4 linked regions of the Astyanax mexicanus genome follow. The protein of the gene in region 1 purifies or fractionates together with the protein of each later gene. This does not show direct contact. Links are inferred from orthologs where the notes say so. Each region holds a gene or a part of one and is shown on either strand. Other genes may lie near its edges. The genes, in order: sqstm1, ripk1l, llgl1 and hadhb.

The links.
Region 2: the proteins of sqstm1 (region 1) and ripk1l purify together in Homo sapiens (affinity purification with western blotting; 3 studies listed by BioGRID and IntAct, with this or other methods). This does not show direct contact. The link is inferred for Astyanax mexicanus from reciprocal best matches to the Homo sapiens genes SQSTM1 and RIPK1.
Region 3: the proteins of sqstm1 (region 1) and llgl1 purify together in Homo sapiens (affinity purification with mass spectrometry; 3 studies listed by BioGRID and IntAct, with this or other methods). This does not show direct contact. The link is inferred for Astyanax mexicanus from reciprocal best matches to the Homo sapiens genes SQSTM1 and LLGL1.
Region 4: the proteins of sqstm1 (region 1) and hadhb purify together in Homo sapiens (affinity purification with mass spectrometry; 3 studies listed by BioGRID and IntAct, with this or other methods). This does not show direct contact. The link is inferred for Astyanax mexicanus from reciprocal best matches to the Homo sapiens genes SQSTM1 and HADHB.

Annotation. Positions count from the first base shown.
Region 1 is NC_064417.1:17,977,998-17,985,321, reverse strand, and holds the start of sqstm1 (sequestosome-1), read left to right. Parts: upstream 1-4,135; 5' UTR 4,136-4,293; coding exon 4,294-4,462; intron 4,463-6,459; coding exon 6,460-6,555; intron 6,556-6,775; coding exon 6,776-7,182; intron 7,183-7,288; coding exon 7,289-7,324. UniProt on the Homo sapiens protein: Molecular adapter required for selective macroautophagy (aggrephagy) by acting as a bridge between polyubiquitinated proteins and autophagosomes.
Region 2 is NC_064415.1:8,725,497-8,733,697, reverse strand, and holds the start of ripk1l (receptor-interacting serine/threonine-protein kinase 1), read left to right. Parts: upstream 1-4,748; 5' UTR 4,749-4,987; intron 4,988-5,507; exon of another isoform or gene 5,508-6,477; intron 6,478-6,765; exon of another isoform or gene 6,766-7,675; intron 7,676-7,802; 5' UTR 7,803-7,809; coding exon 7,810-7,970; intron 7,971-8,201. Other genes in the region: dusp22b (dual specificity protein phosphatase 22-B), read right to left, coding at 1,983-2,003. UniProt on the Homo sapiens protein: Serine-threonine kinase which is a key regulator of TNF-mediated apoptosis, necroptosis and inflammatory pathways.
Region 3 is NC_064410.1:54,048,037-54,055,678, reverse strand, and holds the start of llgl1 (lethal(2) giant larvae protein homolog 1), read left to right. Parts: upstream 1-4,219; 5' UTR 4,220-4,360; coding exon 4,361-4,441; intron 4,442-7,642. Other genes in the region: myo15aa (unconventional myosin-XV), read left to right, coding at 1-78, 428-561, 988-1,121, 1,217-1,350, 1,452-1,592, 2,663-2,764. UniProt on the Homo sapiens protein: Cortical cytoskeleton protein found in a complex involved in maintaining cell polarity and epithelial integrity. Involved in the regulation of mitotic spindle orientation, proliferation, differentiation and tissue organization of neuroepithelial cells.
Region 4 is NC_064408.1:42,744,538-42,752,703, reverse strand, and holds the start of hadhb (trifunctional enzyme subunit beta, mitochondrial), read left to right. Parts: upstream 1-4,698; 5' UTR 4,699-4,911; intron 4,912-4,985; exon of another isoform or gene 4,986-5,078; intron 5,079-8,166. Other genes in the region: hadhaa (hydroxyacyl-CoA dehydrogenase trifunctional multienzyme complex subunit alpha a), read right to left, coding at 617-687, 792-833, 4,406-4,472. UniProt on the Homo sapiens protein: Mitochondrial trifunctional enzyme catalyzes the last three of the four reactions of the mitochondrial beta-oxidation pathway.

The sequences.
Region 1 (7,324 bases):
AACTATATAAAACAACTGTGGGGAATATTTGCTTTTTAGTATACTTAAGTATTAAAGGTAAAAACTGAAAATGTGGTTTATTATGGCCGTAGTGTGTTATTTCAATTGTTGTAATAAGAATAAGTTAAAGTTCATGTTCATGTATTATTGTGTTTTTATATCATAGAGTAGTATAATATAACATATATCCTAAAATATACAGCTTGTATAATATTCTTAGATTCTAATCTTTCTTATACTAAGACAGAAGATATACAATGAATGTGAATTTGGTAGATGTTTACAAGCACAAATTTACAAACTCGCTAATACCTATAGAGCTAATATGAAAATAAAACTTTGATTAAACACAAAAAGTACTACAACAAACACTAGGGATGTGGTGACTTGTGAGATTGTGGGATCTTAAACAAGGTTGTGGATTAAATATTTAAATATGCTAAGCAGTCACATTGGGGCCCTTAATCAAGACAATTAACTTTCTCTTCTTTTCTGTGTCAGTGTAAATAATGTTTTAAAGGTCTATATAACTATAACTTAGTGCAATGATTTTAATAGTTTAATAAAGGTTCTTTACACTCACACTCAGACCAGCTGGTCAATCAGAAAAACATCCCCTCTGCTGGCCAGGAGGCTAGTTAACAAGCTACCCTACCACCGGGTTTGTACAATGCACACTGTACTCAGTGTTTGCTGTACATTGTGTACTTCATATTAATATTGTTAGTTCCACATCTTCAGTGTTGTCCCATAAAATGATATAATGAAATACTTACAAAAAATGTGAGGGGCTTGCTTACTTACTTTTGTGAGTAAAATAATAAATTATTAAATAATTTTTTACATAAATACATACAAAATTGACCAGATGTATTTTATAGCTCACACTTTTGCTTTGCTAGATTAACTTAAAATCAAACAATGTACTGCAAATTCGTGTGTGTGTGTGTGTGTGTGGCCTCTTTAGGAATCTTAGGAAAGAGTGAGTCGAATGAAATAGTTGCGACACTGAGGTTTGGAACATCCCCATCTAGGTTTGGTATGCGGTTATATTTAACAGAAAGGTCACAGAAAGAGTCATAATCACAGTTTATTTTAATCTGTTTTTACTGTGCTTTGGAAACTGTCAGTATTTTGGTTCATACCTTTATCACCGTGTTTCTATCTCAGTGGCCCCAGACACTGTTTTCATTAATCTGCTACTGACAGTAAACCCTCTGATTTACCACAAGACCAGTATATTAGATTAAATGTCTTTGGGGAAACCTAAACAAAGCTTTAGCAGTTTCCAAAAGCTTGGAATTTAATCCTTCTCACACAATTGCATAACCTAGATGAACAATCAAGTCAGCCCACTTGTGTTTCAGCGCATGTGAATTACAGAATGTTCTGAGGGTCACTGTTCCAGTTACTATTTAAAAAAAGAGCATTTTAGAACACAATTTAACCTACAGAATTTCATGCATCTGCTCAGCTAATAAAATGTGTGTGTTATGATGAGTGCTGTCACTCATCATTTTTGAAGTTTAATTAAATACCCCAGCCATAAGAGCTATTTTATTAAGAACCTTTAAACTGGTAGGAAACGTTACACGAAGTTCTATAAAAGGTTTTGCACAGTCACACATCTCTATTGTAATCTTTATTCATCTAGTTTTTTGTTACAACTCTTTACTGTGAAGAACCTTTAAATTGTTTCGGAATTTTTATATCAAGTGAAGGTTCTTTTGATTGTTCTTAAGAAAGCAAAGAGTGTTTTCATCAGATGCAAAAACAGATAAAGATGTGTTTGTAGAATCACACCTATCTGTTGTCACAAATAAACATATTCATATCAATATTGTGTAATTCCTTCTATAAAACATTGTTTAAAAACATGAAAAGTGCCCACCACAGTGAGTTAATCAGAGTGGGTAGTTTTTTTTAGAACTTTGCATTTCCCACCAAACTTCCCATGGCTTTGTTTACATCACAATCACGTAATAATGGAGAAGCTTTGACAAATTGTTGGATACTTTAGTTTCATGATGGACGGCATCACTGTGGCATTTTGTTTACTTCAGTGTATTAATTATTTGGAAAAGTGTCCAAATACTTTTGTAACTAACCTTCCTACACACACACAACTTGTTTGAACTTGTTTTGGTTAAATCTGGTTACAGAAATCCTACCCAGCAGCATATGTTACTCTACAGGTGTGTTACTATTTGTGCTAGTCATTGTGACACAGCACTTCACACATATCATCTTGCATGAATGAGAGCTTTAGGAGAGCACAGGTTGGAAATGGCTATGTTGATCTAATACTGAACAAATCACACAGTATTTCACTTTAAACAGGGTGATTGCATCAGCATTGAAAGGTGGATTAAACCAGAATAATCTAGAACAACCAAACCAAACAAGCACAGATCACACAGGCTGGGTTAATGCCAAACCAAATGACTGCTGTTAATACTGGAGGTCTAAGTTAATTAGTGCACATGCCCAAATGTTGGAAAAGCTGTTAAATTACACCATGTTATTAAATCACAACATATTCTAATACATTACACCAGGTTATACCTACAGCTGTCTGTGTCCTGGCCTTGAATACAAAGCAGCAGCGCTGCTGTCATTTTCAGCTTTCTGAAGCTTATAGTGGTTATGACTGTGTGGCTGGAAGATGTGTTCATTCAATAATGTGGTAAACTCTAAGGCCTTAGGTTTGTGGTGTTGTTCATTCCTGTTAAATGTCCTTCTATCTCTGCAAGGGATCTTTGCTTTTTGCTGACGCAGTTTGTTTGGCCAATGCTGTCATGTTTTTCAAGACTGTTTCCCATGAAACATGAAATTAGTTTGTGTCTATTGCCCTTGTAATTCAGACAGACACTAACAATCAGGTGTCCTTAGAAGCTGCTTTAGTATCAGTAGATATCAGTTATATTATCATATTTAAAGATGAATAATTAGTCATATTACAAGTATAACATTTCCATAATGTAATATAGTTACATGTTGTAAATTATTGATGTGAAATGTTTGGCTTGCTGTTTACTTTAGCTACCCCGCCACCACCACCCGCAGCGGCAAGACCCGTAGAATTAGAAGGAAAACGTGGCGACACCCCTGTTTCTCCCTAGTGTTGCATAATGCACCTTATAAAACGGTACGCCTTATGTATGAAAATAGATCAGAAAACAGACGTTCATCAATAGTGCGCCTTGTAATCTGGTGTGCCTTATAGTGCAAATACTGTATTTATAGAGATCTAAAACCAAACATTTCTTAAATAAATATTTATACTTATCAAATGTACATGAATTAGCATTTATACTAGTCAGAAATATTTTTTCCAGGTTTATTTATTATTTTTTTCATGTAATAATGCAGAACAAAATCCAATCCAATCAAATAAGTCTAAGCAAAAATAGAGGGAAAAATACAAAAAAGGTACGCTGAAAAAAAGAATACTAAAAAAAGAAACATAAATAACATAATAGATAGAAAAACACAATCATACAATAAATATTCAACAGTTACTCAGGAATAACAAAGGATTGTAAGGTCCTCACATATACAAAGAACGGTTCCCACATTTTCTTAGGTGCTCAGCGAGCCTCTAATGGTGTACCTGATTTTCTCCATTTTGACACATTAGTAAGAAATAGTTTATGTTATAAGGATATGTTGTGCTGTGACTAGTTAGAATGGTTTTATAAATTAATGGGTCTGATATTATTACTAACAAACATTTTATAGATGAATCTTTAACTCTGAACGATTCTACTAGTAAAAATAGCATTACAGGGTTTTGTAATTTGAAGTGTTGGTAGTAAAATTAGTTTTACTTTAGTTTAACTGATTTTAGGTTAAAAAGGCGCTGTATGCACAGTGACAGAGACATGTCCTCGGTGGTGATATCAGGGGGAAATCCCCGGGTGGAAAGTGCTGTGTCATTCCTCGGCCTTTAACATCCCCCCTGTGCTTGGCCCCGCCCACCCCCCCCCCCCCCACCCCGCGCTGTTGTACTGCCTCTGATCACAATAACACGCCGTGAGCTTTGTCCGCCTGTCAAGAAGCACTTAGCCCCGCCCCCCAGGACCCAGGCCGTGTTTCCGATTGGGCGGCTGGGCGGTATAAAAGCTGCGGCTGAGCGGGAGGGCAGGATCGGAGAGGAGCCGCGGCTGCAGGAGGCGTGACGCTCAGCTGACTGCTGATTTAAAGGGAAGTGAATTTCTGCTGCGCAACAAACCCCACAGCCCGACTTCTTGATCCGCAGCAGTTTGTGTCGCGGGAGAAAAAGACGCGAAAATGTCGATGACCGTCAAAGCTTACCTCCTGGGGAAGGAGGACAGCCACAGGGAGATTCGGCGCTTCGCCGTCGACCAGGACGTGTCGACAAGTTTCGAGTACCTGAGCCGCAAAGTGGTGGATGTTTTTACCAACCTCCGGAATGCCACATTCCAAATGTACTACAAAGGTAAGTTAGGACTTTAATACAGAAATAATCTCTTTAACTAGATAAAGTTATAATAGTGTGGGGTTACACAGGCTGGGCTCCTTCCTCCAGTGTTTGGTTTAATGGGACTTTAACCTGAATGGGTTATTTATTAACCGGCCAACCGAGGCCTTAATACCACCTTATTACACTGTAACTAATTCTTAGTTACTTAGCGAGGTTAGCTAATGGGCATCGTGTAATCTGGTTAAATCTGAGCTATAGCCTCTTTTCACTATTACACTATGACATTATGACTTTGGTCTGGTTATAAAACTATACCTTAAACAAGTTTATTTTGTGTATATATATAACTGAAGTGCCCCCTGCTGTATGTGTATATATATATATATATATATATATATATATATATATATATATATATATATAGTATATATGTAATGACAGTAAGCTATAATTAAGTTTACAGTATAATTATAATGTGTTTTAAGGTTTTTAGATAGCTAATATTCTAACTTCAGTATAAAGAAACAGACAGTAAGCTAGGTTAGCTAGTTCATGTTCATGTTCATCAGCATATTATATCAACACAGGTTCAGCTGCTCAGACTTGTTTTCCTTCATTGTTTCTGGTTGTGTGTCGACTCCACCCTTGTAATGGAAATACACCTAATTAAGCTCAAACAGAGTTTTGTGTTTAAATCTCTAAATGAGATGTTTTACAGCATTTCAGCATATTTTCATGATATATATATACATACATACATTTATACATATATGTACAGTGGCAGTATTTGCCCTCTTACAGATTTCTTTTGAATTTTTGTCATACTTACATTTTTCAGATGATCAAATTTTTATATCAAACAAACTATCCAAACCAATCTAGCCCTTTGTAAAAAAAAGTGTTTGTCCCCCATAAATTAACTGATTAATCACACTTTGGAAAGCTGAGTTCAATTTCACTATCCACAACCAGGCGTGATTATTGCCAGACCTGTAGAATTAAGAACACTGAACCTTCCCAGGAGTGGCCGGCAGACCGAAATTATTGCAAAATGGCATGGACAACTCATCCAGGAGGTCACAAAATAACCTAAAACAACATATAAAGAAGTGCAGGTCTCACTTCCCTCAATTAGATCAGTATTAATGATATAATAATGAGAAAGAGACTGGTCGAAAGTTGTACCCATGGAAGAGTTCCAAGGCAAAATACACTGCTGACCAAAAAGAACAGCCCGTCTCACATTTTTCAAAAAACATCTTGGAGACTTTGGACAAATGTTCTTTGCACTGATGAGACAAAAGTGGAACTTTTTGGAAGGTTTGTATCCCTCTACAAATGGCGTAAAACTAACACATAATTTTAGTAAAAAACATCATCCTGAATGTAAAACATGGTGGTGGTAGTATGATGGTCTGGGGCTGCTTTGCTCCTTCAGAACCCGGAAAACTTGCTGTAACAGATGGAACCAGGAATTCTGTTGTTTACTAGACAGTCCTGAATGAGAATGTACAGCCAACTGTTCATGACCTCAAGCTCAGGCGTACCTTGGTTCTGCAGCAGGACAATAACCTGAAGCACACAAACAAGTCCACCCCTGAAAGTCTCTAAAAAAAACAAAACAAAATGAAGGTTTTGGAGTGGTCTAGTCAATATCTGATTAAGATGCTGTGGCATGATATTATACAGGCTGTTCATGCTCGAAAACCCTCCAATGAGGCTGAATTAAAATAATTTAATTTAATTCAGTCTTTTACACAGAGATGTGAAAGACTCATTGCAAGTTATCAGTAAAGCTTGATTGCAGTTGTTACCGCCAAGGGTAGTGCAACAAAGTTATTAGGCTTAGGGGTAAAAAAAAAATCACGAAAGGCTAAAATGGTTTGAATAGTTTTTTCCTTTAATAAATAAAATTATAATTTAAGTTTTATATTTATTCAGGTAATATTAAAGTTTGTTTAATAATTAGAAAAATATTAGAAACTCATTTCCGCTTTTCTCTTGTCCTTCAGATGAGGATGGTGACATGATTGCCTTCTCCACTGATGATGAGCTCATGATGGGATTGACTCTGGTGAAGGAAGACACCTTCCGTCTCTTCATTAAGGGTAAGTTGCATAAGAATGCAAACGGTTGTTTGTGAATCTTACATAAAGATTTTATTAAGAACATTTTGGCAAACATTCAGTGTGAGAATCTGTGGAAATGCTTGATATCATCTGATCAGACCTAAAACCTAAAGCATAAAACCAGTTTTAATCCTTTTTTCACAGTTAATAACCTTCTTAATAATAACCTGTTTTTTTTTTTGTTTTTTTGTTTTTTCAGAAAAAAAGGAGCACAAGCGTGACTTCTCTCCACATGGGTTTCCAGGGTTTTCCTTTGGCCATCCTCCAGGACCACATCACATGGGGCCACCTGGGCACCATCATGGTGGACATCATGGCGAACATCATGGGGGACATCATGGAGGACATCACGGAGGACATCATGGTGGGCCCCATGGACCACCTCCAAATGGACCACCTCCACATATGGGCCCACCTCCACACCAAGCTCCCCCCATGATTCACCCTGGTGTGACCTGTGATGGATGTGAGGGCCAAGTGGCTGGAACTCGCTTCAAGTGCACTTTGTGCCCAGATTATGACCTTTGCTCCACCTGCCAGGCCAAGGGCCTCCACAAGGAACATCCTCTCCTGCCCATTTTCCATCCCATGGCCAACATGTTTGAGGTAACCTTACATTTAAGGAGATACTTTTTATTGGCAGTTGGTTGGTTGTTTTTTCCCTCTACTTATCTGTTTATTAAAAACTCAACAACTCCTTTTTCTCACTCAGTGGTTCCCACGTGGTGGGAAGTTTTGGCGCAAGATG
Region 2 (8,201 bases), on another chromosome or scaffold:
TGCAGCATGACAATGACCCTAAATATACCAGCAAGTTCACACCAGAATGGCTTGAAAAAACTAAATGAAGGTTTTGGATTGGCAAAGTTTTTTAAACATAATCTGTGTTCATGCTCAAAAAACATAAATAGATGCACTGTTACAGCTCAGCAGACCAGGCTGCCTCATCTTCTTCAATACAGGCTTTTTGGAAAGGCAGACCAGCTCTGCTGTGTGGGAAAGAGAAGGAGGCCAGGCCTGGAATGTATGTGTGTGTGTGTGTGTGTTAAAGTGTGTGTGCACGTGTGTGTACATATGTATGTGTCAGGTGAGTATTTTTAGATTTGTGAACTACAGTGGTACTCTCTGTATCTCGCTCTCTATTTGTCCAAATGTTTGTGGACACCCCTTCCAACGCATGCAATCTGCTGCTTTAATTTGCTTTAATTTGCTTTAATTAAGCTTCCATGTCCAATGGAAGTTAATGAACACTATGGATATCTGTGATTTGTGTGTGGAGCCTCCTATATTAAATATGGACGTGATTTGAGTCCGTATACACTGTTCAAGCCAAATGCCAATGGTGACGATCATTACATAAAATAAAATCCACCCCTCGAGAAAATGAGCCAATCAGCTTGCTCGTTATGCCAAGAGTGAATGAGAGTCTGCATGCAAGTGGGGAAGCCCTGTCTGAAAAGCTGAAAAGTCTAATTCCTTTGGCAGTATTAAGGTAAATGCTACAAACTGTTCATAAGATTTTTTACAATCATGTAAAATATAAAATACAGTTTTCAGTATTTTGGTTACATTAACGACTTGCCATACATTTTCTTTTTTTATGACATCTATGTTGTCCATTATGCTTTTCTCAGCAGAGGGAGCCCATTAAAATGAACAGACCTTTTCACTGGATTTATATCTAATTTATTTAGGATTTATATATATATATATATATATATATATATATATATATATATATATATATATATATATATATATATATTTTAATAGTTGCTATTTTAACGAATTGCTATTTGAAATGATACATTGTATTTTGAATGCTACTTAGCAATTAATTCTGGAGTAATATTGTATATTGTTAGACAAAAGTAGCTACGTATGTTCACAAAACTTTGGCAATGGAACGTCCCGTCCATCTGACACCCACTATTGGACCTTTTCCACCAATGTGGATCAGGCTCTGTTCTGGAACCAAAGAATAGCAGGATCTTCAGTGCAAACCGAGAGCCACTGTGTGCAACTCCCTCTGCTGATTACGTATTCTCTGACGTATCCATTAAAACAGTTTTACTAAAACTGGTGCAAACGTGGGCTGGGTTACTGACAAGTTTCTTATAATCTTGAACAGAACCAGTTCCAGAACACAGAAATGAGATATTCTGAATATATATATCAGACCTCACTAGAACTTTGATAATGCATGTCGCCTTGCCATGAGCACATTGGCCAGTGTTTGTCTCAGCGGGCAACACCATGCCAAGGTCCATTGAGACCAATACAATGCCACAGAGGGTTAAATGCTGTCCCATGACTTTTGGCATGCTAGCATAACTGGTGTGTGAGCACACTGAAACTCATCCTGATGACATTAATATGAGTAGTGAGTACATCATGCTCCCTCTCTCTCTTTTCTCTCTCTCTCTCTCTCTCAGTGTACTGGTGGGTGAAGGCAGGGAGTGAGTGAGACCCCTCTGCCCACTCAGGACCACCAGTGTGGGTGTTTTATCAGAAAAAAACACAGAATAAATAAATAAATAATAAATATTCACATTAATACAGAGAAAAACACTGAAATAAAGCAGTAAACCTGCCTACATTCACTCTGATCCACTAACACACTTCACACACTGATAACTTTCCTCTGATTCACCCCCTATACACACACACACACACACACACACACACACACACACACACACACACACACACACACACACGCGCGCGCGCGCGCGCTGACCGCTGTCAGAGCGCTGTTTTACCTTATTAATCCCGTTCCCCATGTCCGCTCCGCTCCTCTGCGCTGCTCACACTGGGGCAGTTTGATTACTCCGCGTCTGATTACACTAGAGTTGCCCTTGCGCTGTCACCAAAACGCAACTGCGCATGCGTACAGCTCAGGCATTGTGGGATATGTAGTTTTGTTACCTTGTTAGGCTAAACGCATTTTTAAAGAGACGCACAAACTATATGACAGTTGTTATAAAACAAAATGGCTATTTATAAAAAAAATAATAAATGGTTTAAGATTATAGATTATCACACAGTCGAGCATAACCAGCCAGAAACAATCCTAATTCAAAATGCAGAGGTTTTAAGTAATAAAGTACAAATGCTTAAATACGGCTCTGGAAAAAATAAGAGACCACTTCAGTGTCTACAGACAACAATTCTCCCAAATTCCAAATAAAAATATTGTAATTTAGACCATTTATTTGCAGAAAATGAGAAATGTCTGAAAAAACAAAAAAAAAAAGATGCACAGTTTTTAGACCTCAAATATAATAATGCAAAAAAAACAAAAACAAGTTCATATCCATAAAGTTTTTTTGTTGAATAACCCTGGTTTTTAATCACAGTTGTTGTTATTTTTTTCATGCATTTGGCATGTTCTCTTCCACCAGTCTTACACACTGCTTTTGGATAACTTTATGCTACTCCTGATGCAAAAATTCAATCAGTTCAGTTTGGTTTGATGGCTTGTCATCATCCATCTTCCTCTTGATTATATTCCAGAGGTTTTTCGATTTGGTAAAGTGCTCTTTTAGCCATAGTTTAGCACATAGCCAAACGTTTTTGGACACTGCTATATATTCTATATTCTGTATGAGACATAAGTATTAACACCCCACCATTTCAGCCAAAGGTTTTGGACTTTAGCATTTAACCAAACATTGTTGGACTAACAGCTAACCAAAAGTATTGCCTGTCCAACATTTAGCCAAAGGATTTTGGACTTTAGCATTTAGCCAAAGGATTTTGGACTTTAGCATTTAGCCAAAGGTTTTTGGACTTTAGCATTTAGCCAAAGGTTTTTGGACTTTAGCATTTAGCCAAAGGTTTTTTGGACTTTAGCATTTAGCCAAAGGTTTTTGGACTTTAGCATTTAGCCAAATGTTTTTGGACTTTAGCATTTAGCCAAAGGTTTTTGGACTTTAGCATTTAGCCAAATGTTTTTGGACTTTAGCATTTAGCCAAAGGTTTTTGGACTTTAGCATTTAGCCAAAGGTTTTTGGACTTTAGCATTTAGCCAAAGGTTTTTGGACTTTAGCATTTAGCCAAATGTTTTTGGACTTTAGCATTTAGCCAAAGGTTTTTGGACTTTAGCATTTAGCCAAAGGTTTTTGGACTTTAGCATTTAGCCAAAGGTTTTTTGGACTTTAGCATTTAGCCAAAGGTTTTTGGACTTTAGCATTTAGCCAAAGGTTTTTGGACTTTAGCATTTAGCCAAAGGTTTTTGGACTTTAGCATTTAGCCAAAGGTTTTTTGACTTTAGCATTTAGCCAAAGGTTTTTGGACTTTAGCATTTAGCCAAAGGTTTTTGGACTTTAGCATTTAGCCAAATGTTTTTGGACTTTAGCATTTAGCCAAAGGTTTTTGGACTTTAGCATTTAGCCAAAGGTTTTTGGACTTTAGCATTTAGCCAAAGGTTTTTTGGACTTTAGCATTTAGCCAAAGGTTTTTGGACTTTAGCATTTAGCCAAAGGTTTTTGGACTTTAGCATTTAGCCAAAGGTTTTTTGGACTTTAGCATTTAGCCAAAGGTTTTTTGGACTTTAGCATTTAGCCAAAGGTTTTTGGACTTTAGCATTTAGCCAAATGTTTTTGGACTTTAGCATTTAGCCAAAGGTTTTTGGACTTTAGCATTTAGCCAAAGGTTTTTGGACTTTAGCATTTAGCCAAAGGTTTTTAGACTTTAGCATTTAGCCAAAGGTTTTTAGACTTTAGCATTTAGCCAAAGGTTTTTAGACTTTAGCATTTAGCCAAAGATTTTTGGACTTTAGCATTTAGCCAAAGGATTTTGGACTTTAGAATTCAGCCAAATGTTTTTGGACTTTAGCATTTAGCCAAAGGTTTTTGGACTTTAGCATTTAGCCAAAGGTTTTTGGACTTTAGCATTTAGCCAAAGGATTTTAGACTTTAGCATTTAGCCAAAGATTTTTGGACTTTAGCATTTAGCCAAAGGATTTTGGACTTTAGAATTCAGCCAGAGGTTTTTGGACTTTAGCATTTAGCCAAAGGTTTTTGGACTTTAGCATTTAGCCGAAGGATTTTGGACTTTAGAATTCAGCCAAAGGTTTTTGGACTTTAGCATTTAGTCAAAGGTTTTTTGGACTTTAGCATTTAGCCAAATGTTTTTGACACTGCTCTATTAGCCAAAGTTTAGCTTACTGTTTTTGGACACTGCTTAATTAGCCAAAGTTTAGTCAAACGTTTTTGGACTTTAGCTTTTAACTAATGTTTTTGGAAACTAATATATCCGACAAAATTATTAGAATTCCACAATTTCAGCAAAATAATTTTTGGACTTTTTGGCATTTTTCCAAGCCAACTCAAAGTTTCCCTTTCTAGTTATTATTATTATTATTATTATTATTATTATTATTATTATTATTATTATTATTATTATTATTATTATTATTATTATTGTACTGTAGGTGTGTGAGTGTGTGAAGCACTAGTCTGGTCTCTGGTGGTGATTAGTTTGGTCTGAAGGGGGTTTTTCTTACTTTCAGTTCTGCAGTGTGTGTGTGTGTGAACCCGGAACACACACACACACACAGCTTCCTCAGGAACTCAGAGGAATGTAGATCAGGGTGAGTGAAACACACAGTCTGATTATTATTATTATTATTATTTTACACTTTATGCTGATTATATACCGAGATTTTACTACTGAACACCCGGCCGGAGGAGCAGCAGCAGGAGAACATGAGCTTCAGCTGGAGTTACTGAAGATCCACAGCTACATTCAGATCTTCAGCCCGGTAACTTACTGCTCTCTGTACACAGTAACACTGATTCATCTGTAGATTGTAGATACTGGGTGTGTTAGGAGATGTGTGGTGGAGGTTTGGCAGTGTCAGACGTGTTAGGACATTACTGGAAGTGTTTTAGAGTGGTACTGGGGCTGGTGCTGGTTGTGGTTGTGCTGTGTTAGTAAAACGTGTTTCTTAAGTTGTTTTGGTGTTGATTTTAGGTGTTTTGTGGAGGTTTGGTTGTGTCAAAAGTGTTAGGATATTACTATTAAGTTGGTTCAGAAGGTTGTGATGCTGGTTTTAGGTGTTGGGATGTGTGCTAGTTGGTGTTTTGGGAAGGTTTGGTTGTGTCAGAAGTGTTAGGATGTTACTAAAGTTGGTTTAGAAGGCATTTGGTTTGTGTTGGTTGGTGTTTTGTGAAGGTTTGGTTGTGTCAGAAGTGTTAGGATGTTACTAAAGTTGGTTTAGAAGGCATTTGGTTTGTGTTGGTTGGTGTTTTGTGAAGGTTTGGTTGTGTCAGAAGTGTTAGGATGTTACTAAAGTTGGTTTAGAAGGCATTTGGTTTGTGTTGGTTGGTGTTTTGTGAAGGGTTGGTTGTGTCAGAAGTGTTAGGATGTTAGTAAACGTAATTTAGAGGGTCTTAGTACTGTGGCTGGTTGTTAAGTGTGTGATGGTGAGGTTTGGTTGTGTCAAAAGTTTTAGGATATTACTAATTTTGGTTTAGCTGGTGTTGGTTCTAGGAGCAAGGTGTTAGCAAGTGTTTGATAGAGGTTTGGTGGAGGTTTTTTGTGTCAGTAGTAAAAGTTGCTTTGCTACATTGCAAGTTGGTTTAGAAGGTGTATGGTTTGTGTTGCTGGTGTTTGGTGGAGGTTTGGATGTGTCAAAAGTGTTAGTATATTACTATTAGGTTGGTTCAGAAGGTTGCGATGCTTGTTTTAGGTGTTGGGATGTGTGCTAGTTGGTGTTTTGGGAAGGTTTGGGTGTGTCAGAAGTGTTAGAATGTTAGTAAAGGTGATTTAGAGGGTCTTAGTATTAGTGCTGGTTGTTGGATGTGTTAGTTGGTGTTTTGTGGAGGTTTGTTCATGTCAGAAGTGTTAGGATATTCCTAAAGTAGGTTCAGAGGCTGTTGAGGTTGGTTTTAGGTGTCAGGATGTGTGTTAGTTGGTGTTTTGTGAAGGTTTGGTTGTGTTAGAATATTACTAAAGTTGCTTCAGAAGACGTTTGGTTAGTAGGTGTTTGGTGGAGGTTGGTTTCTGTCAGAAGTGTTAGGATATTACTAAATGTGGTGTAGCTGGTGTTGGTTCCAGGGGCAAGGTGTTAGCTGGTGTTTGATAGAGGTTTGGTGGAGTTTTTTGTCAGAAATAGTAAAAGTTGCTTTGCTACATTGCTAAAGTTGGTTTAGAAGGCGTTTGGTTTATACTGTTGGTATTTTGTGGAGGTTTGGCTGTGTCAGAAGTGTTAGGATATTAATAACGGTAATTTAGATGGTTTTGGTACTGGTGCTGGTTGATGGGTGTGTGTATGTTGGTGTTTTGTGAAGGTTTGGATGTGTCAAAAGTGTTAGGATATTACAATTAAGTTGGTTAAAGCGTTTGGTTTGTGTTAGTAGGTGTTTTGTGGAGGTTGGTTGTGTCAGAAGTGTTAGGATATTACTATTAAGTTGGTTCAGAAGGTTGTGATGCTGGTTTTAGGTGTTGGGATGTGTGCTAGTTGGTGTTTTGTGAAGGTTTGGTTGTGTCAGAAGTGTTAAGATGTTAATAAACGTAATTTAGAGGGTCTTAGTACAGGTGCTGGTTGTTGAGTGTGTGTTAGTAAGTGTTTTGTGGAGGTTTGGTTGTGTCAAAGGTGTTAGGATATTAATATTAAGTTGATTACGAAGGTGTTTGGTTTGTGTTAGTAGGTGTTTGGTGGAGGTTTGATTGTGTCAAGAAGTGTTCAGATATTGTTCATGTTTGTGTTTTGTGTTTTGAAGGTTTGTTCAGTGTCAGAAGTGTAAGGACATTCCTAAAGTTGGTTCAGATGGTTTTGGTGTTGAATTTAGGTGTTTGATAGAGGTTTTGGCAGTGTCAAAAGTTTTAGGACATTTCTAAAGTCGATTCAGTTCAAGTTTTGCTGTTGTGTTTAGGTGTTGGAGGATGTGTTAGTTGGTGTTAGGTGGAGTTGTTTGCAGTGTCAGAAGTCTTAGGACATAGCTAAAATTGGTTCAGTAGGTGTTACGTGTTGGTTTTAGGCATTAGGCTGTGGTAATAAGTGTTTGGTGGAAGTAAGGTCTTGTCAGAAATGTTAGGACATGTCTGAAGTTGGTTCCGAAGGTGTTTGTGTTGGTTAAAGAGTCCTTAGTTGTTGTGGCTTGTGTTAGTAGGTGTTTTGTGGAGGCTTGGTCGTGTGATACTGGTCCTGGTTGTTGGATATGTGTTAGTCGGTGTTTGGTGGAGTATTGATTGTGTCAGAAGTGTTAGTATATTACTAAAGTTGGTTTAGAAGGCGTTTGGTTTATACTGTTGGTGTTTTGTGGAGGTTTGTCTGTGTCAGAAGTGTTAGTATATTACTAAAGTTGGTTTAGAAGGCTTTTGGTGGAGATTTGTTTGTGTCGGAAGTGTTAGGACACTCCTAAAGTTGGTTTAGAGGGTCTTTGTGCTGTGTGTGTTAGCAGTGTAAATCACTTCCTCAGTGGTGTCAGGTTACACAACTCCTCAGGTGGGCTAGTGTTATAGATAGATACAGAATATGAACACTATAAAAAAAGAATATGTGCATTAGTTTAATATTTTGAACAGTTTCAGGACGATAATACATTTTTATCTTGTAATCTTATCTTAAACAGCCACAGCATGGCTACAGGATCGAGCTTGGACATTTACATGAAGTCCTCGGACTTGATCAGGAAGAAGCGGCTGGACTATGGAGGCTTTGGAGAGGTTTACCTGTGCTACCACAAAACCCTGGGCCAGGTGGTGCAGAAGACCGTGTACACGGGACCACCTCGAAATGAGTGAGTGTTATTGGGTTGGTGTTCTTTAGGAAGGTGTTCATAATTCACCCAGTTCTCAAAAACACTCGATACATCGATTATCTAAAATCCTGTACCTGACATCAGTAACAGTGTATATTATATCTTAAATCATTTATTAATACTTGATTAAACATTTGACTTCAATAATGTTTAGTGAACGTCCAACTAGGGGTGGGCAATATTATATCGTATACAATATATCGTGATACA
Region 3 (7,642 bases), on another chromosome or scaffold:
CTGTGGTTTAGAAGAGTGATCTGGAATCAGCCACTTAAATTTGACAATGAACTTGGAGTCACCATGCATTACAACCAGGTACCTGTTTTCTCTTAAAGCAGCACCTTTTCATTATTTTGAATTAAAAACAGTACTGTCCCTTAGTTCAGAGAGGGCAACATATTATAATACTGTAAATGGCATCAGTGTGTTCTGCTACCATTCCTGCAGTATATAATATATTTATTTTAAAGACAGGGTGTCTTGTAGATCCCAAGGATTTTTTCTGGCTATAGCAACTTTTCCTGGTTACTAGGAAAAGACTTGCACACTGTCACTTTAATATTTCTGTTTATACCTCAGTAACAGGTTGGATGATGCATTGCTGTACTTATTGGATGAGCTTTTGTCACAGAATTTGTACTTTTTCATGTGTCTCATATTGCAGGTTGCCCCTGACTACTTAAAAGGACTGCTGAATGTTGTTCCGCAGGGGAAAGCAAGTGAGCAGCAGTTTCAGCAGGTGGCAAAATTGGCCGCCCTGCAACATCGTGCCAAGGACTCTGCCTATCTTCCTTCCCTGTAATTCAACAGTCACTCGCCTTACATTTTACCAGACCTTTTTCTAGATCATGTTTTTTCTAGATCATGTTCAATTCTAGAGCTTGATTCCAGATTCCAGTCCTGGATTTCAGAAATGATAGAGTTAAATTCATTACATTTTCAGAAAAAGATTTTATTAGTTCTGCTAGCGCTCTGCTCTGAATGGGTCGTTCCTGCTCCAATAGCTTTTATAACTATTAATTTGGTCTTTATCTTCAAAGTGTCAGTTTTGTTTTCTTGTGTTATATTCACATAATGACATGATTATCGGACAAGTTGATCTTTTCAGAACTTTTAACAAAATTATGAATTTCTAAAATCTTTATTTTTAATCTTTTATTTTAAGTTTTTTTTCAATTGGATTAATAGCTAAAATTATAAACTATGTTTATCTGTACATTCAAGCCTTGAGGTCCAGGAGTGCATTCCTGTCCAGCTGTGTGTGCTGCAGCGCCCCCAGCAGTGGCTGAACATGGTAACCCAACACATGCAGCAGATCCAGGCCCTCAGCCCCCATCAAGCCAGAGCCCAATTCCTGGGTAAGGAGCTTCGATGCTCAAAACGTAATCAATACTGTAAGTGTCTATGGTGTATACTGTATTTATGACCACTGCTTTATATTTTGGTATTACAGGGCTCGTAAGTGCCTTCCCCATGTTTGGATCCTCCTTCTTCTACATTCAGAGCAGCAGCAACAGCTCCATTGACTGCCCCTGCATTCTGGCTGTCAATCAGAACGGACTGAACTTCCTGAACAAAGAAACACATGTAAGTAAACTGAGCAGATCATGAACACATGTATCTTTATATTGAGATAAAGAAGATAGACCTGATGAACTGATGAACTTGATCGATTATTTGCTCTGCAGGAGCCGATATTGAAATTCCCCCTGAAAGAGGTGCAGTCCAGCCGCACTCAGAGGCCTACAGCCGGCTCCTGTTACCCTTATGTGGAGATAATGCTGGGAGATCTGATGTCTCAGCGCATCACACAGCTGCATTTAGACCAGGTATGCTCTGTACTGTATGTGTACATGAAGGAGAATAACATAATTGGGATGTTGTGATCTTTCATGATGTGGTTTGGGCTGGCTTAATTCCAAAATATGCAAAGACAAATCAGACATGACTGGGAGTTTTTGTACATTTGCTTTGACTTTCGTTTGATGCAGACAGTTTTAGACCGCTGGACCACTCGGTGCCCCGTCTTTATACATTTCAATATGTTTCTCTTGCGCTTGTTGATAAACTGGAGATCCTCTCCTCATCTTTGCTCATCAAAGTCTGAGTCAAATCATGATTATAATCAGCTGTTGACATCACCTTTTTAAAATAACATCATTATTATTTTTTTTAACCATACGCTGCCTCCATCCCAACTTCTTTTGAAATGTGTTGTATATTAGCACATGAAATAAACTGAGCAGACAAAACATTAAGGGCTCTATTTTAAAAATCTTTAGGTGAGAAGTCATCCCCACACCCCGTGCAGCTTGATTTAAGGCGTGCAATATGACTTTGCTATTGTAACCACAGGAAAAGTATGCACTGCGAGGCTTAAAACACGCCAAAGGCATGTACTTATCCTCTTAATTAATAATGGGTGTGTTTTGGGCGTTCATTCTGTTTATTGTTGAGGTAAAAGTTTGCATAGCTGCCAACAGGCATGTGCTATGGGTCTTTTAACTGCTGCGTGTCCATTTGTGCGTAACAAGTGTGTTGGGCACGTGCTTGTGTCTGATGGTTGATGTCTGCTTAGGTTGTTTTCAGTCAGTGGTGCACCTGTGTTTTTTGTTGCCAAGGTAGCAATATGGCAGAAATTTACCTAAACACACACCATATTTCCTTATTGGATATATTCACACACACTGTTGCTATTTAAACAATGCAGGTGCGAGGCATGAAAATAGACTGTTGGTAGGGTGTAAGATAGCAATGAACAGGGTATAAGATAGGGTCCTACAAATATTGAGTTTATACTGTCTGCAATTAAATACTTTAGCATTTAGTACCAACTTTTGGATTTATTGGAGTGATTTTTGCATATGTGTGATGTGTGTGTGTGTTTGTTACTTTTCAGAGTCTGGAACTATGCCGTGTCATCGCCATGCACATGGAGAACATGCTGTCAGTGCGAGAGAAGAGACTCACTCTGCCTCCCAGCGAGATCACTTTGCTTTAATTAGCCTTCAGACAAAAACACTCACACACATTATATTTCCACTTTCAATGATAAATATTGTTAGAATGATTTGACCGATTTTTAGCCTTGTTGCTAATTTAAATCGTATTACCACTACCTCACACCCTGAAGAATATGCTTCGATATGCCCCCACAGGCCCTGATTCCACTTTCACTGTGGAACACAAGGTAGAATCGCCCGTCTATAAAGAATGTCTATGATTTGTCAGGATATGCCATGTTTTGCTGCTGTTTCTGAAATCATTTGCACTTCTGTGAATATGTACATAATGTATTTGTGTGTCATTTTCACATGTTGTATCTGAATACAAAAATAAATCTAGTTTTTCAAATTATTTTTTTTATAATTGAACAAAACGTGAAAGCCTCCGTGTGATTTATTTGATATATCCTACTCATTATTAAACATCACTAAAGATATTTAGTTTGAGCTCAAAACTTATTTCAGGACAATCAAAATACTGCATAATAGAAAGGAATAATACTGCAAATTAAACTCACTTGCAAATTATAAGGCAATGTATGAGGAATCCAAAATACTGAATTCATACTATGCATGCTTTATATAAGGCCATAAAATGTGTCGATTCAATAAATTCAATGTTGTTTTCTAACATTTGTTATTTTCAAATATTCACTATTTCCTTCCTTCATTATGTTTCCAAAATTGTTTTTTTTAAGGCAGAAACAAGGGAGAAATTTCTTAAATTGAGGGAATTTGTGGGGATTTCATGTTTCAAACCGTGATAACAGATGTTTAAATCAAGGGAATCATGTAATAACTTATGGTAAATAATTATTCAAATAAAGGGAATAATTTATTATATTATAATACATTTTTATTGATGGAATGATTAGTGAATATAAGTAGTGAAAGATTTGTTAGATTGTGGTACCTGTCTTTTAAATTAGGGGAGTGTAATAAATTTAATACAATCAAGAGAATAATATAAAGTGAAAAATTTACATTTTTTCCAGATTTAGATTTTTGTAACAAGGGGATTATTTATTTAATTGAGAAAAAGATTGAATTATTAAATTAATTCGAAATTGAATCAAATTTATAAATAGATGGATACTTTTATTAAAATTAAATAATGCTTTATCAAATTTTGGGAAATGTTTTAAATGGATTATTTTAGGTTTTTAGTAAGTATTTGGTCTGGTCTTCTGAAGCCCTGCATGTGGAGCGTGCTTAAACGGTCTGCTCTCAGCGGCGCTTCTGATTGGACGCTGGGAAATTGGCTGCTGATTACAGTCCGCGGCAGCAGCGCTCCGGTCCGCGGAATCCGCTCCGGGTTTTGGGTGCGCAGTGAGGCTGGGGGCGTGGTTTAGAGGCTTGGTCGCGGTTTCCCGGGCTGTGATTGGCTGCTGCGGCCGTGATTCCTGTGAACTTGCCCTGTGGTTGAACGACAGGAGCAGGCTGTGGGCGGGCGGTGAGAAGCGGAGGCGGAGGGAGACGCGGAGCTACGCGAGGCACGCTGTCCGTTTATTTAGCGTCAGTTTAAACGGTGCGGGAGTTGAGAGACAGAGAGAGACGCCGCGGGGTTTGGGGACGCTGTGTTCGGCTTCAGGATGATGAAGTTTCGGTTCAGGCGGCAGGGGAACGACCCCCAGAGGGAGAAGATTAAGCAGGACCTCTTCGCGTTTAATAAGGTGGGTGTGATTCGGGGGCAGCGGGCAGTTTAACCGCGGGGTTCTGCGGGGAGCAGCGGCTGCCCGCTCAGCTGCGGCTCATCAGAGCTGCGTGTTAAAACTCAACCACTCAACGGAAAAAGTTAGCTGAAGCTGCTGCTGCTGCTGCTTCTGCTGTAATGCAGTGCTGCTGCTCTGTCCTGCACCACAGTTTAATGTGCTTTCTTATAAATGAGACATTTAGTCTCCAGAATTAAAAAAAAAACATATTAACTATCCACTATTTCCTTAAAAACACAGCTACTGATAATCTCAAATTTGGCTAATCCACGCTTTTTCTAGGACATTTTTTCTGTTGTTTGTCTCTAGGAGTCTACACAGGTCTGGGATGTTTATTTAACACGACTGTTCACAGTCACTATAAAACAATCCAAACATATCGTCTGTTTTTCCCAGTAAACATTAGTGAGATGTGTGGGATGTTTGTTTGTACAATTTCTAATTCAAAACCTTTCAACACCTCTGGAAAAAAATAATTAAGGATAATTAGGATGCAGACCTCAAATAATGCAAAGAATACAAGTTCATATTCATAAAGTTTTAAGAGTTCAGAAATCAATACTTAATGGAATAACCCTGCTTTTTAATCACAGTTTTAATGCATCTTGGCATGTTTTCCTCCACCAGTCTTGCACACTGCTTGCACACTACTGTTTTTTTAAGCCGCTCCTTGGTGCACAAATCCAAGCAGTTCAGCTTGGTTTGATGACTAGGTTATATTTGTCTTCTTTGTCTCTAGTAGTCTAAAAACATTAGTAAAATTGGCTAAACTAGTTAGTTACCAATGTTAACAAAGCATTTTTATGCTTTCAGCTTTGGAACTCCTATATGATGATACATACAGAGAGTGTACACAGGTCTGGTATGTGTTTCTGCAACGTTTATTGTCCGCAATCACTTAAAAAAACTAAAGATATGTCTACAAACATACCTTCTGCTCTTCCCAGAAAACAATGTAGAGAGGTGTGGGATGTGTTTATGTACCATTTCTAATTTAAAACATCTCAAAAACAGCCCAAGCTTATTCTGCCAAAAAGCTCTTTTCTATATTTGTGTTTGTTTTTAGCATTGATAAAATGGCAAAAACAATAAGCAGTTGCATGAATCAACTTTGCACTAACGCTTATTTCAGTAAACTGTGTGATATTGCAACCTATTTTTGTTGCACATTCCAAATTCTTGTCCCCAGTTACTAAAGAACAATTCAAACATATCTTCTGCTCTTCCCAGTACACAATGGAGCAAGGTGTGGGAGTTTAAAACTAGTTTAAAACATCTTAAAAAGCAGCCCAGACATTCTTACAAACAAATTAGCTCTTTTCTGTATTTGTTTTTTTGTCTAGCAGTGTAAAAACATTGGTAAAACTGGCAAAACAAACAATTGCATGAATCAACCATACAACCTTTGCATGAATGGCCTGTACAAAAATGCCTAAAAACACCCAAACTCCCATAATCTTACCAGTAAACAACCACAAACATTTGTCACACCACACTAGCTATTGCTGTTTCTTTGACTGTGAAAACTTTGATGAAATTGGGGAAAATTACCACAGATGTGCTCTTTTTTTAAAATAATTCCAAACCTCTCCTTCAGTTTTCCCAGTAAACAATAACATATTTGGCTGCACTCATTTAACTAGTGCTGTCTGGGTGATGTCTGTCTCTGACTGTGTAACTGTGGTTGCACCACACTTTCTCTTTGCTAACTATATAACAGTTTATAGAAAGAGTGTACACAATAAGGAGAAATGTGGGATATGTTTCTGTAACCGTTATTGTCTAAAATTCCTAAAAAAACAATGCATTCCATTTGCTCCTCCCACTAAACAATCTTAACATTTGCTGCACCACACTGCTGCTGTTTTACTGCTGTCCGTCTCTGACAGTATAAAACTGTCAAACAGATTCTGGTTATATCCTTTTGTTTCTCTCTCTCTTTTTCAACTCTGAATGAGGTCATATAAACAGCATATGCAGTGGAGTGTGGCCTGTGATGTTTCTGTAAAATTCTCTTATCCAGATTCTCTGAAAACAATTCCAAACTTATCCTGTGGTCTTCCACTAGTTCTGTCTGGGTCTCACTTCCCTGACAATGTGAGAGTTGGTAAAATTGGAGGTGACTAAAGTTAACAGAGTATGCTTACACTCTTAATTTGAAAAAACTGTAGACTTTAAATACCAAAATCTGGAGTCCAATAAAGTGTCTACACAGTGGTGAGAAGTCTAGGACATCTGCCTGGCAGTAAATTCTCCCACCTGAGTTGAACTCGCTTCTCAGAGGCAGGAGATGGTAAGATTTGTTGAACTGTTATGTAATGAGACAAGTAACATCTTCATTAAGATAAGACAATTCTTTTCACCTCAGGCATGAGGAGGTGGGCTCTGATATCCTTTGAGTAATGACTTTGGCTTCTTTTCTAAATATATGGAGTATAAGTAGTGTTTTTTTTATCTAATTATTTCTCTGTGTAAAATGTTTATTTTAATCTGCATTAATGAGTTTTACAATTTAGACATGTTCTGATCAGGGTTTTTCTCTAACCTTACACAATATTGTATACAATATTCAGCCAAAAAAACTCTTTTCTGAGAGGAGAACCAGCATTATTAATCAGTACATGTGGCTCAAAGTGAAAGTTTTTTTGTGTACTTTTTAAGTAAATAGTCATCGTATTTTGACCTTTTATTGTTTAACATATGGAGCTTGGAGTATAACACCGGTTTCATTGGAAGTCTCAGCTGTCACACAGAGGCTATATTTTAGCCTGGCTGGGTCTCAGTGGGAGTTCTTTAAAATTGTACTAAATTACAGCCTCCAAAGGAGGTGAATAACATATTGGTGTGAATCCTGTAACTATATATAAGCAAGTCTATAAAAAAGTAGTGTGTATGTCACCATTTAATGGTAATTCTGTAGTAATCTGGTCACTGTCAATTTTCTAGGATTAAGATTGCATTTATGTTTATTGACCTTGATCACTCGGGTAGGAGTATAGATCCTGGGGTTTAAAAATAAGTATCAACTAAAGCTTTTTACTCAAGTAAAAGTACTGGTTTTAAAACTACTTAAAGTGTAAAAGTAATGTAAGGCGGGAAAAAATAACATTAAGGACAAAAGCACTAGGATGCACTAGGCTCCCTGTTTCAGCTGCATATATG
Region 4 (8,166 bases), on another chromosome or scaffold:
GGAGACATCGCCCAACCCTACTATCAGTATAAAACCTACAAAAGCATGCAAAACACCCGTCTGAACACCCCTGCTTAAAGTGTCTTTTAAAAAAACAGATAAGAGAGTAAAAGATGAAAAGAGTTTAAACTAAATTATTTTATGAATCTGAAAGGGAAAAGGGCCCAAAAGCAGCCTGATCCAGGATTACAGAATTTGAAGATAGTAATACAATAATTGCTAATGGTTGTTAAGAACAAACCATAGGCATAGCAATGTAATTAAGGTCGTAGACATTGATAAAAGCTGCCATCCAAAAGTCTATTTTCCTCTCCAAACTTTTACTTTTTAGTAAACATTTTTATAGACTAGTTTATCTTCTATTTTCCTAAATATTCACAGCAACATATTTATAGGGTGCCTAAACGTTTGCTTGCACCTTTGAACAACACTGATTTTTGCGAAAGAAAAAGTGAATATTTGCTGACAATTTGCTGATATGATAAAAGTCCATTTCATAACACTCAGCCTTAAAAAAAAATAAGTGTGCAGTATGAAAGTGAAAATGACATCACATCACATCACAATAAAACTAATTTCCCTTAGAAAGACAGAACAGTGTGTTGGAGTTACTGACCCGGCCTGAAGGGTCGTTGATCTTGATGACTGCAACGTCATCTTTGAGCTCATAGTTGACATAGGTGCGAGCTGAAAAAAAGATCACAGATATGTACAGGATTATACGCCAAAAGCAGGGATCATAAAATTAATAATGTGTGTTGATGGTTTAAAACACTTATGCTAATAATTACCCAGCAGAGCTGATGATGCAGAGAAGTTCCGGCGTCCATTCACTAAACAAAAAAAATATATATTTGCACAAGTGAACAGAGCCCTCAGCTTAAAGAAAAATACTGAACCTAAAGACTGTAGATACAGCCTGAAAAGCTTAACACATTCTCTAGCTTACTATTTTATGTAATGTTTATATAAACTCAGATTACTTCATCTAAATCACATCTTTAGTTCACACAACACTGAAAAAACATGTGATCATGAATAAAAGTGTGAGTAAAACATGCAGTCAAAAACCAGTTTAAAGATGTTTACTTAAGATTGGTAATTTTAGGGTGATATTTGGACAAACATTTAAACAGGACAGGTTTATTCTCTCGTGTGTGGCCCGTCAAAATGATATTTTTTTGTGGACGATTTAATCGCCCCAGTAATTATTGTGATAAACGATATTATTGTCATTTTAAGCCCAATTACATGCCACTGACATAATGATAATAAAAAAAATCAATTTTATGAATTAATTAAAATTTACAGTTAAGGACGATGCGTTTTTATGAAAACTGATTTTCTCTGTTTAGACTTCTGCTACCTATGCTCCCTTCTGGGCTTCTATAGTTCAGAGTGGCCCTCCTCCGGTGAGGATCCGTGATTATTTGTGGAAAACAATAAATAGTGCTCCTTGAATGTTTCTTTCATTACAACTTTCTGTGACCTGTTTACTGCTTCATTACTGCTCACATTCTGCAGTATAATCCAGTGTCTGTCTCTTTTTAATAGGGAAATTTTTTTAGTTAAAATCAAAAAACTGATTTTCTTTTATTGGTGAAAAAAAAATAGATTTTTAGGGCATATTACCCAGCTCTAAAAAACAGAAAAGCTTAAAGCACAACTTCGTTCCCTTTTAAAGACAACAAATTTGTAATTTATTATAGTTTGGAAAATACATACTTTTTGCAGTACACACTGTGTGTATGGGGTTATTAAAACATTGGATATTACATAACTGGCTAAAATACTGTTCACTGTTATATATGTGAACAAACATACAATTAAACACAATAGATGATATCACAATTATCAAATATTATTGAGGGCATGTCCATTTAGTGAATGATAAGTCAATAATGTAATGATCGTGACAAGAAAAAAGGTTTTTGCAGAGCTGTGAAACCAGAAAAATCTTCAGTATTACAGAAATTAATCACTTAAGATATTTTCTTCTAATAAGAAAGCTTAAAAACTGTCCCAATATACAGCTATTATATCTATAGCTACTTTACCAACAAAACTTTGAGGGTCACTTTTACTGACCTTGGTCAATTGTAACTCTTTAATATTTAGTACTAGACTGAGCTAAAGCCACAGAATCATGCAATTAAAATCAAAAGAAATCATGTATGACCCTAACCTTAATCAAAACAGTTTAACATCCCTTATTAATCAATAATGACTCTGACCTAAATACAGATACAGTTACTGATGCAGCATGACCTGCAGCCCAGTTCTGTTTCTCCTTCACCTGACCCGGTCACAAGAGGTAATGCCACCATACACACCCTCTGTGAGAGAGCGTGTGTATGAGTGCATGTGGAAAAAGTACTCTAAACAGGGAGTGACAAGACGACTAGCGTCACCAGGACTTGGGTGTAAATATGGTTTGGGACATCATTCACTCAGGTACCATATATGGAAACTTTGGGGGAATGTTTGGGTCACTAGGCCAACCTACAAAATCATACCAGAGCCCATTTAATATCTCACTTTGCAATATATATTTTTTTCTGTATTAATTGCTATTTTGAAAAACAGGATTTTATATCAGATTTCTCCAGAAGTCCCTGATTGTTACAATATTAACAATTTATTCCATGTATCCAAAATTGGAGTCAAAAAAATGATGAGAGAGCAGTGTGATTTTTTTGTATCGTCTTTTGTATCAAGCAGCTAAAAGGTAACATTTGTTTGATATGACGTCACTGCCATGAAATCATTTCAAACAGTAAAAAACAACAATTAAAAGGATATTGAAAAATTCTTTATAACTGTGACTACATGCATGCACAAATAATTGCAATAAACAACAGTATTGTCATGTCAAGATCCTTTTAATCCTATTTACACAGTTACAGAGTTATCTGTGTGTGTCTTTTTCTACTGTAGTTATGTGCCGTGTGCTTCTAGTGTTTCTAGTGTGTAAATGCTGCAGTAGAGAGTGCAATAACAAAATCTGTTCCAGCACTGCTTTACTACAGATAAAAGCTTTGTAAATTGACAAGTTTTTCAAATCAATTTCCAAAGCTCAATTTATTTTTATTGCTACTCATAAGCTGTAAGCTAATTATGGAAACTTTATTCAGAATAAAAGTGCAGTGACCTTAACTGTAGACCACTGGGTCACTAGGCCGATCTAAAAAAAATGATACTCCGTGTTCCAGGTTGCAGCATTACCAGAGCCTATTTAAAATCTGACATTACAATATCTATCTGTGATATGGGTGTGTCATATAGTATCTTATGGTACGCAATAATATCACCAACATTTTTGAATATTGTGAATGTGAACGATATTACATCCTAAAATATTGTGCCATATCGCCCACCGCTAATTATCACATCAGGGTCCTACTTTTTTTGCTGCTTTTAGCAAAATAAAAATTCACACTGTTCTCATTTACCATTATATATCTACTAGAGACAGATTATATCTGTCCAGTATCATTCATTTTACTTCATTCCTGGATATATGGAGATATTTCAAGTGCATTAATGATCATGATGTTCTGGTCATTGACTTATTTTACAAATCTGATAAAATTCTTGTATTTTTTATTATCGCAGTTAGGGGTGTGCCATATTATATTGTATTATATTATATTGCTGAAGTACGTATATTTTTAAATATATATATATATTTTTTAAATTCAGTGTTTTGACATATCACCAAGAGTATCGCCATCGTGAAAATACAATGAAATATTGTGATATTATATTAAGCCATATTGCCCACCTCTAATCTGTGATTTAGTGCAATTTTTAAAATATAGGGTTTTATATCAGATTTCTCCAAAAGGTAATGACAGTTTTCAGTTGTTAAAATCATTCCTTTTTACAATACTCTTTTTTCTACAATAATAAAATGTTTTTTTCAGTGTTTAGTTCATTTGCTTTCCTTCAAGGCCTTGTCAGTTTACTGCAAAAAATGTGTACACTGATTTTTGTGCCATTTCCTTCTATTCTTGACTGTAGATGAAGAAAAACAAAGGGGAAAATTAGTTTAAAGGAGCAGCTCTGATTTCACTCATTCTTCTATAACTAAACTCACTCAATGCAATGCACATATAACTAATCTACTTCACAAATTAATAGCATGCCTTATTACATAACACACACTGACATTCTCAACTCTTTGGTACACTGGGGTGGTGTGTAAGGTGGTCTTCTGGTCATGCACTTGATCATTCCCCCCCATCGGTCACCCTCCCAGCAGAAGTAGGTGAAAGTTCATCCGCCTGTGAGGCTCGCAGGGTCGCGTAAGGACGCTACACGCACTGCAGCTTTTCGCTATTGAGCTGATTTCACTATAAAAAACTACAAAACCCAGAGTCTGAGTCTGATCTGCTGCACCTACCGGAGAAATGAGGGTATCTGCTGGCCGCAGATCTGATCAGTGTGCCCGCCGCCCGTACGCTCGCCATCGCCTCCGGAGCTCCGCTTCACAGACGCTGAGAGACAGACAGACGCACGCGCACAATCACGCACTCACACACGCGCACCCCCCCAGCACACAAACCGTGAAACGGAAGCGCGAGGGAGGGGAAACCGGTGCGTTAAGGACCCAAGCTGCATTCCATTTCTCAGATTGCGTAGCTAAAGTCACTTTTTAAAAGCACTGACAACTGAAACACGTGCACATGAATATATACGGCTCAGTGCATTTGGTTTTATATGTGTATGCAGATTAGTTTTTTTGTGTTTAATAGTTTTAAGACAATTTAGTGCAGGCAGATTTCAGGGCTACTACGAAACTTTTAAGGTCTTTCGAGCTGCACATTTTTTGTAGTCGTTTGTCATCTTGGTCCAGTCCCAGGAAGAGTCCCGCGGCTTCGGGTTCATCATACAGCAGGATCTGCGCAGGTAACGCTCCTTCATACACACACAGATTATCTGCATTCACTGGCTATAATAACATAATAACACACACATACACAGAGAGATACTGAACGCTTGAGAGTGTTTGTGCACATGCGCAGTGCGGGCTGGCTGATTTCACTGTCAGTGTGGTGTCTTGCTGGCTAGCTGCGGTAAGCTCAAATCCTGCTGTTTTTAATGGTCTCACTATTTTATTTATTGTAAATAAGCCTGTTAAAGTATTTGTGTTTAGTGTGTTTGGTAGACAGGGCAGTGCAGTTTGTAGTTTTGCACAATTAGTGTGTGAGAGTGAGATAGTTAGCAGTGTGTGCAGCCTGCCCTTGTGCCGGCTGAAGAAGTAGGTGAAGGGTCACCGAGCTGTTTATAATTCAGCTAATCAGGGCACGTTACCAGAATGAAATCAGAAGTCTTGCATATGACTTTTACACACCTGAGACACTGTAAAGTGTGATTAATCAGCTGATCGCAGGTTTGTTATTCTGATAGACACGCATTTATTACTAAAATGTTTACATAAGAGGATATATAATGCTACCTTCAATACCTCCTCATAAATTACTGTAGATTCATTATTTTGAACAAACAAACAAAAAAACAAACACAGTGGACTGTAATAGTGTGATTATAGCAGAAAAGAGTGACATTGGCATTGACATTTGTTTATTAAGTGTCATGTTGAAGGTGAATTAAGAGCACTGACGCCGTTTTCGCTACACTGTATGTTAGCATACATGGTGCTTGGTGAAGTTGTCTATAGCATTATTTTAATATAATAATGTAATTTAATGTAATAATATATGACTATATATTAAAGAAGAGTGAGTGACCGTGTTGAATTCACAGCTTTACAACCTTGACCAGGCTGACCGCAATGACACAGTAAAGCCTGTCATGTATGGGATCTGAACCCACGCTAGAGGAGGCCATCCTGACGGACCCTTAGTATAGTGGGCGTGGTCACCCTGTTGAAGAGGCGTGGTCTAATTCTGTGTCGGCCTGGTTTCTTTCTGTTCGCTACAGTAGATACTGTAGCATCGTTACGTTTTTTCTACCATCGCAAATGAAAAGCGCAAAAATCGAGGCAAAATATAAACGAAACTATTTTGTGGATTTATATATGTAACATATTGTACATAGAGTTTAGCAATATATCAATATTTTTATTGTATAATTATATAATTTACCATCATTTATATCGTGAGGACACTGCTTTTGCTGTCCAATGAAAAACGAGAAGCTCCATTTTTGTTGATTTTTAGTTTGCTAAATAAGTTTAACAGGCGAACTGGCAACATTTATAAAAGACTTGAAATAAACACTTTTTATTTCATTTACTTACATTTTGTTGCTGTTCTGTAAAGTTGCCGTTTTGGAGATGCATGTTTTTCAGTGGACTGCGATCATATCAAATGTACCATCAGGGCCTACAGGACCCTGACCTAACTAACCAATTTAATTACAGAGAGTGTTTAATTACATGGTGTGCCACAAAAATTTAATAATCACTGTGCAAATTATTAAATAGTATTTAAATAGCATAATAGCAGAATCTGACACTGCTGATGTTTTTTTTCTCCTTATTTAAACTTGATGATAAATACTGTGTGTCAAAGTCAAAGTGGTTTTTATTGTCATTTCAGCTATATACAGAGTACACAGTGAAACGAAACAACGTTCCTCCAGGGACCATGGTGCACATAAACACAGTGTAGACAAAACAATAGTGCAACAGTACAAAAGTGCAGACAGACAATACAACACAATACAGACAGAATAATAAATAACAAGACAGTGTACAAATTATGCAGTGTGCAAAAAGTGTGCAAAAAGACCAGTGAGGTAGTAATTACCTCTATTGCACAGTGTGCAATAGAGTCCAGTGAGGTAGTAGGGTTTTTAGTGCTTTCCATTTTCTGGGGTAAGTGGGGTAAGAGTGTGTGTGCATGTACAGAAAAAACATCAGTTCAGTCTCTGCAGTTGAGGAGTCTGATGGCTTGGGGGTAGAAGCTGTTGCAGAATCTGGTCGTGCTGGACCGGATGCTGCGGTACCTTTTTCCCGAAGGCAGGAGGGAGAACAGTTTGTGTGAGGGATGGGTGGGGTCATTCACAATGCTGGTTGCTTTGCGGATGCTGCGGGTGGTGTAAATGTCCGTGATGGAGGTGAGAGAGACGCCGATGATCCTCTCAGCTGTCCTCACAATACGCTGGAGGGTCTTGCAGTCAGAGACGGTGCAGGTCCCAAACCAGGCAGTGATGCAGCTGCTCAGGATGCTCTCAATGGTCCCTCTATAGAAGAGTGTGAGGATGGGTGGAGGGAGACGGGATAACGGGGAATGGGATATAATATTTTTACCATATCACTCAGTATCAGCATGCCATTATGTACACCATGGACAGTGGCTTTTATACTGTACATATTGGTATCAGAATCTTAGCATGGGGACCTAAATGAAGTAATATAGTATGAAATAAATTTTGGGAATATTTCAAGCCCTGAAATTAAGCCTAGAACTTTAAAAACATAAGGCTTCTTTCATAAACGTATAATCATTTCATAATATTTTTATGTCATACTCTCTTACTTAATACTTGTAAAACGTCTATGTTCTTGCCTGGTCTGTTGAATGTGTTGCATGTTATACATCTGTGTCATTCATTCATTTGTGAATTTTTTTTTTCAGATTTCTAAATGCTGCTGGTGTATTAAATCATTTGTCTAGTATACCCTCAGCCATGTAAAGCTGCTTTTTGACATAAATAGCATAATGCAATTAAAATTAAATACAATAAAAACAATTAAATACAATAAACACACCGGTTTATTTTACAGTGCAGTAAATCCAAGCACTGCTTCTACTGAGTGTTGCTTGTCTGTTGGGAATTAAACAGGTCTAATTTAAAAAGGCCTCTAACAGGAGTTGACAAGCTTTCGATAATATCAGTGTTAAATTATTTTCCTCTCTCCCGTGTTGTGCATTTTTCTGAATAGAAACACGTGTAGGATTTTTGCACAAAAACCCATTCATTCTCTACACTCAGATGACAATGTTAAGTGGAAGCTTCTCTTACCAGAAATTCTGTGGTCTAAATCTCAGGCCAGAATTTCTACATTTGTATAAACTTCACAATTATAAGGAAAATACAGACTGTTGAAAAAATGTTAAAAATGGGTGAATAGGGAGTTGAGTCATTTGATAATTGTACATGGAAAAATACTCCACCATAAAACATTTTACTGTT